Linked DNA regions of Cricetulus griseus. The protein of the gene in region 1 purifies or fractionates together with the protein of each later gene. This does not show direct contact. Links are inferred from orthologs where the notes say so. Each region holds a gene or a part of one and is shown in the gene's direction. Other genes may lie near its edges.

What was found.
Region 2: the proteins of Rpp30 (region 1) and Pop4 purify together in Homo sapiens (affinity purification with mass spectrometry; 4 studies listed by BioGRID and IntAct, counting the BioPlex papers as one, with this or other methods). This does not show direct contact. The link is inferred for Cricetulus griseus from reciprocal best matches to the Homo sapiens genes RPP30 and POP4.
Region 3: the proteins of Rpp30 (region 1) and Rpp25l purify together in Homo sapiens (co-immunoprecipitation; 3 studies listed by BioGRID and IntAct, counting the BioPlex papers as one, with this or other methods). This does not show direct contact. The link is inferred for Cricetulus griseus from reciprocal best matches to the Homo sapiens genes RPP30 and RPP25L.

The regions. Positions count from the first base shown.
Region 1 is NC_048596.1:25,691,136-25,695,383, reverse strand, and holds the start of Rpp30 (ribonuclease P protein subunit p30), read left to right. Parts: upstream 1-1,439; 5' UTR 1,440-1,505; coding exon 1,506-1,587; intron 1,588-2,812; coding exon 2,813-2,868; intron 2,869-4,248. UniProt on the Homo sapiens protein: Component of ribonuclease P, a ribonucleoprotein complex that generates mature tRNA molecules by cleaving their 5'-ends. Also a component of the MRP ribonuclease complex, which cleaves pre-rRNA sequences.
Region 2 is NC_048599.1:152,153,480-152,157,821, forward strand, and holds the start of Pop4 (ribonuclease P protein subunit p29), read left to right. Parts: upstream 1-1,416; 5' UTR 1,417-1,645; coding exon 1,646-1,652; intron 1,653-3,712; coding exon 3,713-3,765; intron 3,766-4,342. UniProt on the Homo sapiens protein: Component of ribonuclease P, a ribonucleoprotein complex that generates mature tRNA molecules by cleaving their 5'-ends.
Region 3 is NC_048595.1:100,887,689-100,891,190, forward strand, and holds Rpp25l (ribonuclease P protein subunit p25-like protein), read left to right. Parts: upstream 1-1,612; 5' UTR 1,613-1,649; coding exon 1,650-1,781; intron 1,782-1,797; exon of another isoform or gene 1,798-1,990; intron 1,991-2,196; coding exon 2,197-2,721; 3' UTR 2,722-2,994; downstream 2,995-3,502. Other genes in the region: Dctn3 (dynactin subunit 3), read left to right, coding at 1-39. UniProt on the Homo sapiens protein: May be a component of ribonuclease P or MRP.

The DNA.
Region 1 (4,248 bases):
ACCAATCCAGATTTTGCGATCATGTATGAAGATGCCTTTCTACTTGTACAAAAGCCAGCACTAGACATTCTGTTGAAAAGCCAGTGGTTTGTTTTGTATGACTTTGCTCTAGTGGCAGAAGTTGTTTTGCTGTTGTTTTGTTTGGGGGAAATACCAAACAAAACAACAATTTTTTTCTTTATGTAAATTAACCAAAGCTAGGTGTGGCAAAGCACAGCTGTGATCCCAACGCTCGGGATTCTGAGACAAGAAGATTGTGAATTTGAGCCCACCCTGGGCTACTAACAATAACCTGTTTCAAAATAACAATAATAATAATAATAAATATTCTCTCAAAAATCAGTAAGAAATTAGAGACCATTATGTTGAAGAGTATTACTCAAAGTGTGATCAGAGGGGAAGTCCTCATACTGTTTGCAATCAGTACAGAAATTGAAATGTTTCTAAACCTTTTCAGCACTTCGTTATTGTCCTAATGGTCAAGTCCTACTGATCGATAGACTTTTCTTATTTGAGAACCCAGCAGTTCAGATATCATATTACTGAGCTGCAGGAGGCTGGGGCAGCTTATTGGTAATGCATAAAGGATTCCCATGCTAGCCAGCCAGAGACAGAATGGAAAGGAGTAAAGAACTGCCCTTCTGCATCAAGTGGATTAAAAAGAATGCCAGCATTTTATGCCGTCGGATAATTGATCTGCCAATATTCAAAAGTTAATTTTTAAAGTAGAAACATCAAATGATATTGCAATATGTCTCATGAAAATTTGTGTATTGTCGCTAAGCTTTCATCTTTGAGAGTGCCCTGCCATCTTGTGGTTGTAGATGTTTCTATAACAGAGACCCATTATCTTAGGCTTAGCCCAAAGAACTAAAACAATCCGCCCCAGAGCAAGCGCTTCAAAGAGGCTTTTAAGCCCATTTTCAAAGAATGGAATGGACATTAGAGAAAGGAAAGAAAAACATTTTCCCATGTCTCTTCATGTGCTTATCAACTTACCTACTTTGGAGACTTATGTATCCCTCTCTGGCCTGGATGTCACCGTGTAGATCAGGATGGCCTCAAACTCATAGAGTTGCCTCAGCCCTCCAATTGCTGGAACTGAAGGCGTGGGCCACCACCCCAGGCTCACCCAGCTCTTGGAACAGGGCTTCACGACCTTAGACGTCTGCTTGATCTCAAAATGCTCTATGGGTGTGTTTAGAATGAATCACTTTCTACTCTGTTGTATTGGCGAGAGGGGCGGGGGGAAAGACCCTACTGTGTCTACCAAACATTCTCGTTCAAATCACGACAAAAAGGGAGTAAGTGAGGCTGTAGGTTCGAGCACACTAACTTTGGCTGGTTTCTAGAGGACAGGAAATACTGTGCAGAGAGTAGACGACTGAGAAGGGAAAAACCACAAATCCCAGGATGCCAAAGTGACAGCCTACAACTCCCAGCATGCTCGAGGAATAACAGGGCGACTGCGCAGATTGGCGCGCGGGTGCTCCTGGGACGTCAGCATGGCGGCGTTCGCAGATTTGGACCTAAGAGCGGGCTCGGACTTGAAGGCTCTTCGGGGACTGGTGGAGACCGCTGCTCACCGTGAGTCTACTGGCTTCGCCCCGCGAGCCCGGCCCCTCGCTGCCCCCATACCACCGGTTTGCTTGGTAGTTTTTCCAGGCCCTATTATTGGGTCTCTCGTGGGATTGCGGCATTTCCCTAGAGGCAAATGGTAGTTGCTATGTCTCCCGGATCCCTGGCGTGTGAAACTCACAGGCTACTGAGGAAGCTGCCGTTGCCTGGGCTTGCACAGTCTTTCCGTGCGGAGGGAGAGAACAGAGGCCAAAGGGGTCGAGGTGTTGGCAAGGGGGCTGTGAGCTGATGAATGGTAGGCTCTGGGACTGGACTCCAGGTGTACAGTCCCCTAAGCCGGTGGGTGCTTTTAACGTCAGTCCTTTTGGGCCCCGACGACATCTGACAAATACAGAAAGCTGGGTCGCAGGCAGGAACTGCTGTGGACTCTTAGAGAATGGGGAGGGTGTTACCTTATTTCTCCCGAGTTTTAAGTTCCTTGGGGATGAGCATTAATCATGTGTGCTGTCGCCTGCCATAGGGTCTGTCAAATAATGGATGCTCTAATAGCTTGAACTCGGGAGTTATTAGACTAGTTTGCCATTACCATGCACTATCTTTTATATTAATACTCTATCATCTTGTTGGTCTTTAGACAACTTAAAGACAAGAGTCGTGATTTAGATGTGTTGGCGACAGAGGCACTTTTCCAAGCAGTGCTAACTGTTGTGAGGATAAGGCAAACCGTCGTTTTCCCTGTCTTTTACTGTAGAGCACCTCAAAAGAGGTGTAAGGGATTCGTCCTTCCATTGCACCTTCGGGTAAGGGAGGAAATAGAGCATCGCAGAAGAAATGAATGATAATGAAGGTGACGGAAAGACACATAAACTTGATGGAATAAAAATGAACAAAGGGGCAGGAAATCCTGAGAATATTGTTTGGAAAGCAGAAACAAGGTGTTTTTAGTGTTTTGCTAGCATAAATCACAGCCTAAATATGTGCCTGGCACTCTTCTAAAATGCTTAATTTTCATGACACTCTGAAGTGCTGTCTGCTGTTAACATCACTTGACAGATGAACAACCTGAAACATAACAGTAAATATTATTAAACCCTCTTACTTTCCAAGTCTAGAAACAGAATCCAGGGCTTTGTGTATGCTAAGCAAGCATTCTAACACTTAGCTACATCCCTAACCTCATCTCATACTCTTGAACAAGAAAGAATATTTTTTAAATAATCTATTTTTTTTTCAGTTGGATATTCAGTTGTTGCCATCAATCATATTGTTGACTTTAAGGAAAAGAAACAGGTAAAATAAGATTTCTCTGATTAATTAGTAAATAAATATTAAGACTTTACAAGCCCAGCAGTGGTGGCACACGCCTTTAATCCCAGCACTCCAGAGGCAGAGGCAGGCAGATCTCTGAGTTCAAGGCCAGTCTGGTCTACAAAGCTACACAGAGAAACCCTATCCCAGAAAAAAATATCAAAAACAACATTTACAAATATTTGTATTTGTGTTGGGAATAAGGAACTAGAAATGTGGACTTGTTGCAATGACCACATACTTAACAAAAACAACACAAGGAAGGAGGAGTTTATTTTCTTATACTTTGAAGGTATGGCAGCAGGAGCATGAAGTGGCTAGTCACAGTTCCTCCTCGGTCAGGAAGCAGGAGATGAATGCTGGGGCTCAGCTCACTTTCTCCTTTTTAGTTAGTTCCCTTAGAACTCCAACCCATGAAATAGCTCAGTTTGCATTCAGGGTGGGTCTTCCCTCCTGGGTTAACCCTTTATGGAAACACCATTATAGAAATACAGAGGTGTGTTTCCATCATCATTTCTAAGTCCAGTAAAATTGGTAGTGAAGCATAAGTCATCACAAGCATGTTTGCGTTTTGAGACAGAATCTTATGTGTCCCAATCTGGCCTGGAATTCAACTGTGTTGCCAACGAAGACCTCCTGCTAAGATTACAAGCCCATGCCCAGTTTATGAGATGCAGGGGTAGAAGGCAAGGTGGTGTGCATTTTAGAAATCACTCTACCTCTACTTACTGAGCTGCCATGTGGCAAGTCTTCTCTGTACTGCTAGCTCCCAAATAGTGAGACTTCTTATTATGAAAACTTGGCCTTAGCTGAGGGTTGTTTCTAACTAGCTCTTATGACTTAACCCATTTCTGTTAATCATCGTGCTGCCATGTAGTTTATGGTTTTTACCTCTCCTCCTACACGTCATGCTTCTTCTGAGTCCAGCTGTGACTCCCCCTTCTTCCCAGAGTTCTCTCTGTCCAGAAGTCCCACCTATACCTTCTACATAGCTGTTGGTCATTTAATATTTATTAAAACACAGTGACATATCTTTACACAATGTAATCAAATACCTTGCAACACTGTGTCTCCACCCTCTCTACTCACTGGGCTGCATCCCCAACCCTCAACTATACTTCTTTAAAAACACCCTATGCTTACTCTTTTACAGTAATAACTGAACTAATATATATCATACAAATTCAAAGATGTTTAAAATTACATTGCTGTTAAATGAGCTATAACCACGATATCTTGTTACCATGGTCTTATTAACTCATTTACTGATTTTTTTCCCATTTATTTATTTATTTATTTATTTATTTATTTTTCCGAGACAGGGTTTCTCTGTGGCTTTGGAGGCTGTCCTGGAACTAGATC
Region 2 (4,342 bases), on another chromosome or scaffold:
GTTTGTAGCCAATTGATGTACATAGCCAGTTCTCAGACAGCCAGGCCTACAGAGGGAGACTCTGTCTCAAACAAGTGATCAGGTGTACATTATGGAGTTCACATGTTATGAGCTTTCAAGGGCACTTTCTCAAATACACTCTGATAGATGCTAAAATAGTTGCAGGCCTTTGTAAAGGAAACACATTTAGTGACCATCCTGCTGTTATCAGGCTGTCCCCAAACTCTAAATCCTATGTGCCTTACCATGTCCTGTACTGCTTAAGATCAAAATGGCACACACTTATCACCCAAAGATCTACAAAGCCTATGTTTCTTAAACAAGGATGCGGTGTTGTTTGCCCAAGTTTTTCTGAGAATTCTTTTTGCCTTTAAAAGGTTGCATAGTGCTCACTATTAAGAAAACCACTGCTTTCCCTTACCCACCCTCCAAGTTAGATCCAGCACTCAGGAAATTAAAGGCAGTGTCTGGACAGAACCAAGGCAACCTGAGCAGGCTTGGCTGGACCTTTGGATTCCAGAGAATCACTTTTTGTCTTTTATCATACTGACAGCACCAATTCTCCCAGTCTCAAGGATGCTTTTTGGGTTGGATGCAGGAAGGGAAGCCTACACAGGAATACTCCATTTCCAAGATCAGCCTAGGCTACATAGCAAATGTCTGGGCTACTCAGGGAGACTTTGTCTTTAGAGGAGAAAAATAAATTTAAAAAGCAAGTGTTCTGAGACCAAAGCCAGCTAAAGTTACTCTCTCTTTTCAGTCATAGGAAACAGACCCTTAAACGAGGTGATAAAAGTACTTAGTAGCTGAAACAGATGTAAATCCCCATCATCATTACACAATGTGACTAGTAATACTGTGAATGAATTCTAGGACAGCCATGGGCATTGACTCCCTTGCTTAAAAAATAAATAAATAAATAAATAAATAAATAAATAAATAAATAAATAAATAAATAAAACTGAGGGTTGTGGCAGTTGCCTTTAATCCAGCACGCAGGAGGCAGAGGCAGGAGGATCTCTGAGTTTGAGGCTGCCTGGTCTACAGAGTGAGTTCCAGGTCGGGCAGCGCTGTTAAACAGTGGAAACCCTGTCAGGGAAAACTGAAGGGAAAACAAAACTCCAAAGGACTCCTAAACCCTCACTGCAGCCATTACCTCCGCTATTTCAGGCGCATTCGGGCCTTCCTGGCCCCAGTCTCCCTGGCGTCCTCTTCAGGACAGCTCGCCTCCTGTGTTCCTGTGTTCTGACCCGCAACCCGACTGTGGCCGCCAGGGGGCGACACCAACTGAAGAGACAGCGAAAAACAGGCTCCGCTCCGCCAGCCACAGACGCGGCCGCCTCCCTCGCCCCTCCCTCGGCTGCAGAGCCAAACACAAGGCGCATGTCCGCCAGAGGCCGGCGCGGCTCCATGACGTCACGCGAGGCGCCATAGCGGAAGTCAGATCGGGGTCCATTGAAGTACTGGAGCGAGTCTGTGTGTGGACTGTGCCCGCGTCGTTTCTTGGGCACAGCGGATTTGTCCAGCGGAAATTTCAACCAGAAAGAGTCCCGGTGGCCGAAAGCTGCTGAAGAGAGCTAATAAAGGGAAGCAGTGAGCGAGGCCCGAAGGAGACTTCACCAGAGCTCGCGGGAAGCCGCCGACAATGAAGGGTCAGTGTCACGAGAGATTCGAAATCGGGGTGGATGACAGCATAGAGGGTCGGGAATGGAAGCCGAATCAGGGATCCTGTCACAACAGAGTCCCGAGACAACTTCCAGGCAACTGACTCAGTACACAAAAGCAGTCGAGGCCCAGAGTGTGAATCGGCCAACTCAGTCTCTAAGCTGGAATAGATGTCAGGATGAGTGTGTGGTACCCCAGGGAACTGGTGACGCTCAGGAGAACTGGAAGAGGTGCAGCCAAGGCCTTTAGCTTGTCCTGACCACTGCCTGCCTGTATAACTATTGCTCCCTTCCACATCCTGGCTTTTCACCCTTTCTCTTATAAAAAGCTTCCCGGGCGCAGTGTCACAAACCTAAGGCGTTGGTATTTGAGCAGAAAAGGGATGAGCCAGGAAGGGAAGCAAGCACTGGAGCGGTATTAGAGCAGAGAGAGCACAATGTAAAGATTAAGCCTCTGATCTAATGATTTCCACCCCTGCTGTGTCCTTTCATCCTCTGATGCCTTGGCATGACTCAATGTCAATATTATTATGTGCATACAAGGAAATAATTATATTCCGAATGGCTTAGAAAGGTTAATGAGATTGAAATAAATTATATACACACCTATGAGTATATATATGTACTTATGTATGCATGTATGTATGCATGTATGTGTTGCTGTAAAACAAGTACTTGACAAGCACTGAGTGTACCAGAGCTGTCACATGTGTACTGCAGCAGGAAGTCTTCCAGCTCTCATGCTAGGCATCTGCAGTAGGTAAAGCAACATTATTCCTGGGGTCCCAGGCCCTGCACATTTTCCTCAAGAAACAAAGTATAGTCTTAATCTGCAGTTCAAGGGAGAACTAAAGATTTTGTATGTAAAACTGGTAACTCTCTGGTCAGACATGTACCCAGGGAAGCACAAGAGAACAGACATGGGCTTTTGTTTGTTGGTTTGTTATTGTAGCTGTTGGGATGAGGTCAGCTATGTAGTCCTGACTGAGCTGGGACTCACTATGTAAGCTAGGCTGCCTCACCCTCTGAAGTGATGGGATCAACTGTGTGTGCCACCACACCCAGCTCAGAGACTGAGTGTATAGGGTGTAGTGTGAGCTACATATTCTGGTCATTTGCTCTTTCTTATCTCCTTTATTCCTGTACTCTGCCCCCACCACCATGGTGGTTTCCTCCAAACAAATACCAAACAGGAGCATGAGGTTTAGAGAAAGTTTGGCATCATGCTGGACATATTTAGAATTTGAAGAAAGACTGTTGTATCTATCTGGTCAGGGTACATTCCAATTTTATGGATTAAAGACTTAAAAATCTGTTTTAAACTTCTTGTACTCTGCAAATTGTTCAGTTTCAATCAACCACACCCTAGCCATTAATATCACCTCACTTTTAGTGTCTTCACTACTAAGTGAGCAACCACCCAAGCATAATTATAACTTGTATTTTCAATCAATCAATGTGCACCATTGAGGAATTTTTTTGGACATGCAGAGTCTAGAGTAGAAATTAAAACCGGTGTCTTTATAAGAGTCCAGTGATTCTTAAACAAGTTAAGCTTTGAGAGGTGCTCTTTTAAACCTCATCCTGGGAATTTCCAGGACAAATCTCTGGCCAAGGGAAGAGTAAAATGTATCTGGGATAATTGTGGTGGTACACGTGTATAATCCAGCAACTAGCACTTGGGTGCCTAAGACAGGAGTACTGAGGGTTTAAGGCCACTGTGGGCTATATAGCGAACTCTAAGCCAGCCCAGGATACAAACTGAAAGCCTGTCTTTAAATAAATGTGTAAATAAGCCGCATTGAGTAGGGTCGGGGGCATGGATCCATGGTGAAGCCTGCCCTGCATTAAACCCCACTGAGTTTAATCTCCTGGCACTGCAGAGTATAATAGAAGGATCATCCAAGAAAGCTTTGCCTTTTCATACTAACCCAGTAGTCCTCATCTGAATAAGAGTGCTTATTCAGAAGTCATAGTTGGAAAAGCCTTGGATATTATACTCACTCCTCACAGGAAGTAATCTTCTCTTTTTGTCTTTTATCCCCCAGCTGTGATTTACCATGCCCTTTCTCATAAAGAAGCCAAAGAGCACGATGTACAGGTACAATCTTTGAAAGGTGGGCTGGGAGCAGGAGACGTGGCAACAAAGATGGCTCAGAGTCTGGTCTAGCTGTCCTTCCCATGGATTACTTCTCATCTTTACATTCAGTACATTAGGCCCCATCAAGGTCTTTAGTGCTGATGTCTTCTTGTGCCAGGCTCCTTTCCTAGGGTACCAGAGTCACTCTGAGGGACTTGGATTCCTTGATTTCATGTCATCTCCCACTCTGTAGGGAATGACAGTGACAGCCTGTGCCTGAAACCTCTCTTGTTCTTGCTTCTCTGCCCTGTTCAGTGTGCTCAGCCTATTTCATAAGTGAATGTTACAGATTCTATCTGGGTATGTCAGCAAGCTTTGTCAGTTGGGCTGAAGCTTCACATGTGGCTCATAAAGAGAGCATATTCTGCCAGGCTGTGTGGAGCTTGCCTTTAATCCCGGCACGTGGGAGGGAGAAGCAAGAAGCTGTCTCATTTCAAGGACAGCCAGAGCTACACAGAGAAAACCCGTTCCTGAAAAACAAACAAACAAAAACACACACAGACACACAGACACACAGACACACAGACACACACACACA
Region 3 (3,502 bases), on another chromosome or scaffold:
CTAGAGGCTGCCAAGCAAGTGAAGCCAGCAGAAGAATGACAGTTGCTTACTGTGCCAGGCCAGGGAAAGGGGGGCCAGCTCCAGGGCCCTGTGCCACCCTGTCTTTGTGAGGCAGAGACAGCTTTGTATTTATTCAATTCAAAGACTACCTGTCTGCTCAGTTGGGGCTCTGAGGTCAGAGATCAGGTTACCTTAGAGTCATGATTTGCACTCCCCATCAGTGTATTTATTCCAATGACAATAAACTGTAGCTACCGCTGAAGGTGTGTTTTGGCTTGCTGATCTAAGATGGGCTTGGCTGTGAGAACTGGAATGGTGAAGGGGAGAGCTGTCACTATCAGGGTGGGACCTGGAACTACTCCTGGTCGAGCTTCTGAAAGATGTAGTACTCTTGCATCTGATTGATACAGTGGGGCATTGTATATTTATCCCACATTTTCCAACTGCCCTCTAAATATCAGATCCTACGGCACGTAAGGAGGGCACAGGTAGGGTCACCTCATTTCTGTATAGGGTTTGGGGGAAGACCAAGAAAGTGGTAGTCCTACCAGGTGGGGCTCAGCATGCCAGGATGATCATGGAGGAACAAGCAGGGACGTTCAGAGCCAAGGCAGCATAGCCTTGTGTCTACCGAATACCAGAAGAGGAGCCAAGAGGCTTGGATGCAGTGAATTTTAGGATCTGGGAAGGAGGAGCAGATGATGGGAAAGCTTGGATGAACAGTTTAAGCACCGCGCTCCACCAAGTGTATGCTGCCCTCTTGTGGCCTGAGGGAGTGCCTCGGCTCCTTCAACTGCCTGTAGACCAACCAATTTGTAGTTTTGCTGGCACGCAAAATGCAGCTTGTCCAAAACGATCTGAAACTAGCAGTCATCCTAGACTATTCCAACAAATAGTTCCCGGCTCTTTCCCAGAACTTCCTACGAGTTTTTACCAAGTTAATTAATCTCTTCTCAATTCTTGCCATTTCGGTGGTTAATCAACATGTTGGACAGATGTTGCAGAACCTGTTTCACTCTGAGTACTGTACTAGGTTCCGTGGGCACCCTCCTACCCCCGCGCCTGACGCGTTATGATGGTGCAGGGTACAGACCCTTCCCAAGGTCACGGTATCTGTTGCCCCCACTACCGGATCCTCCTAGCCTATACGCCAATCTATGGCCAATGAGTTGTGCACAAGTTATGGCTTAGTCCCTTCTGAAGACTACCAGGGTTGTCCAGTGCCCCAGGATGAGAACAAAGCTCAGAACTAAGGGTCTCGCCCGCTTGTATCCACCAATGCTTCAGCTTCTCCTTCACCGATGCGGTGAGTCAACAGGTGACGCGCACCATCCATCGTTTAAGGGCACAGATTCGCATTCTTCATGCTCAGGACTCCTCCGATAGCCATTCCTCTCCCGGGCAGGGCCCTCTGCGGGTTCTGGCGTGCTTCGGCATCACCGCGGACCGCGGGATGCGGGCCAGCTGCGGGTACCAGCTCAGCTGAGCCCAACGGCGTCCCGGGTTTCCCTCAGGCCCCGCCCCCTGCGTGCGCGCTCCCGCGGCCCCGTGCGCTCCCGGTCTGCGCGCCATCTTGGGTCGAGCGTGGACGGGCGGTAGTGGTAAGAGCCAAATCCCAGGGCCTGGGTACTCAGACGTGGGGAAAGGGGATGTCTGCTGCCTGGGACAGCGGCCCACGACCGGGGAGCCCGCCAGACCGTCCATGTTTGGTCCGAGCAGTGGTCTGTGCGAGCCCCCACTCTCGAGTTCCCGAATGGCCTGGCTCAAGCCCCCCAACCCTGGTAATCTAAGGATGAAGTCTACTCAGCCGGCCGAGAGCCCGGAGGGGCCGGTTCTTTCTTTAGGGAGTACTTTGTGAGAGTTCGTGGCTGTGCCCCAGGCAGCCTGGGGCCAAGTCTTGATTCTGTTTCCTGGAAGCACACAGTGAGAGGAGCTTGTCCGAGTCCTTGGAAGCCTAGTGAGGAAAGGCTCCTGTTTTAGAGAGTTGTGGGTGAGGAGGGGTCTGGCCTAGCCCTGAAAAGCTTGAGCTGATGAAGCATGGCCCTATCCCGGATAGCCTGGTTTGGGGAGTGGGGGGAGTTTGGTTCTTTCCGTGTGTAAGACTCTCCAGCCTTGGGGTGAGGGGTATATCCTGGAGGGAGTGATGGAGGATGGACCTGGTCATAGTCCTGACACTCATCTGACCGCTTCCCCCAGTGCACAGCAAGAGAGATTCACCAAGGCCACCGGAGCAGAATGGAACACTACCGGAGGGCTGGCTCTGTAGAGCTCCCAGCATCTTCACCAATGCCCCAGCTACCTCCTGACACCCTGGAAATGCGAGTCCGAGATGGGAGCAAAATCCGAAACCTGCTAGGACTGGCTTTGGGTCGTTTGGAGGGGGGGAGCACAAGGCATGTGGTGTTCTCAGGCTCTGGCCGGGCAGCTGGGAAGGCTGTCAGCTGTGCAGAGATTGTCAAACGGCGGGTCCCAGGCCTCCACCAACTCACCAAGCTTCGTTTCCTGCAAACTGAGGACAGCTGGGTCCCAACCTCACCAGACACAGGCCTAGACCCCCTCACAGTTCGACGTCACGTGCCTGCAGTGTGGGTGCTACTCAGTCGGGACCCCTTGGACCCCAGTGAATGTGGCTACCAACCCCCGGGAGCGCCCCCAGGCCTGGGCTCCATACCTAGCTGTGGTCCCAGACCCCGAAGAAGGGCTCGGGACACCCGGTCCTGAAGACCTGCTGAGCCTGACTGTACTCTAGACCTGATTCTCTGTGCCTTCTGTAAGAAGGGCTTGTGTGACACTTAACATGCCAGCAAGGCTTGAGTCCACTGGAGTCCTGCCTCCCCTCCCCCCTGGGATGCGGGATGCTATGAAGAATGAAGGGCATATGGGGTCAGTGCTGAGTTACAGACTGCTTGAGAAGGGCTTACTCTGTCTACAGTATATCTGACTTGCCTTTTTTGACATCAGTCTAGGAGAGGGAAATAAAGGTCATGCCCATTTGTTTGGCCTGCTTGTGTGTAAGTGGGATTGGAGGGGTGTGAGGCCCGCCTTGCCCCGGAGCTCATGGCCTGGAGGCCAGAAGGGTAGGTAGAGGCCGCTGCTGGGTGGATCTGGTGTCAATACATTTCAAGCAGTCACCTGCATGACTTTTTGCCACCTGCTTTAAGCTGGCTTGGGACTCAACCAGGTCAGGCATTTCTCCCATCTGTGTCATATGTTTTAGAATAGTGGGATCATGAACTCGGGCTTTGCCTGTCACGGTTTTAGTCCTGGCTCTCCCACTCACAAGTTACTGCTTTGTAGTTTTGGATAAAGCTACTTCCTGGACCTTTGTGCTCCCATCTGTAAAATGGGGTGTAGAGGGTTTACCTCATTGGCATTCTTTTTTAATAATTTATGTTCATTGGTGTGAAGATGACAGATTTCCTGGAGCTGGAGTTACATACAATTGTGAGCTGCCATGTGTGTGCTGAGAATTGAACCCAGGACCTCTGAAACAGCAGCCAGT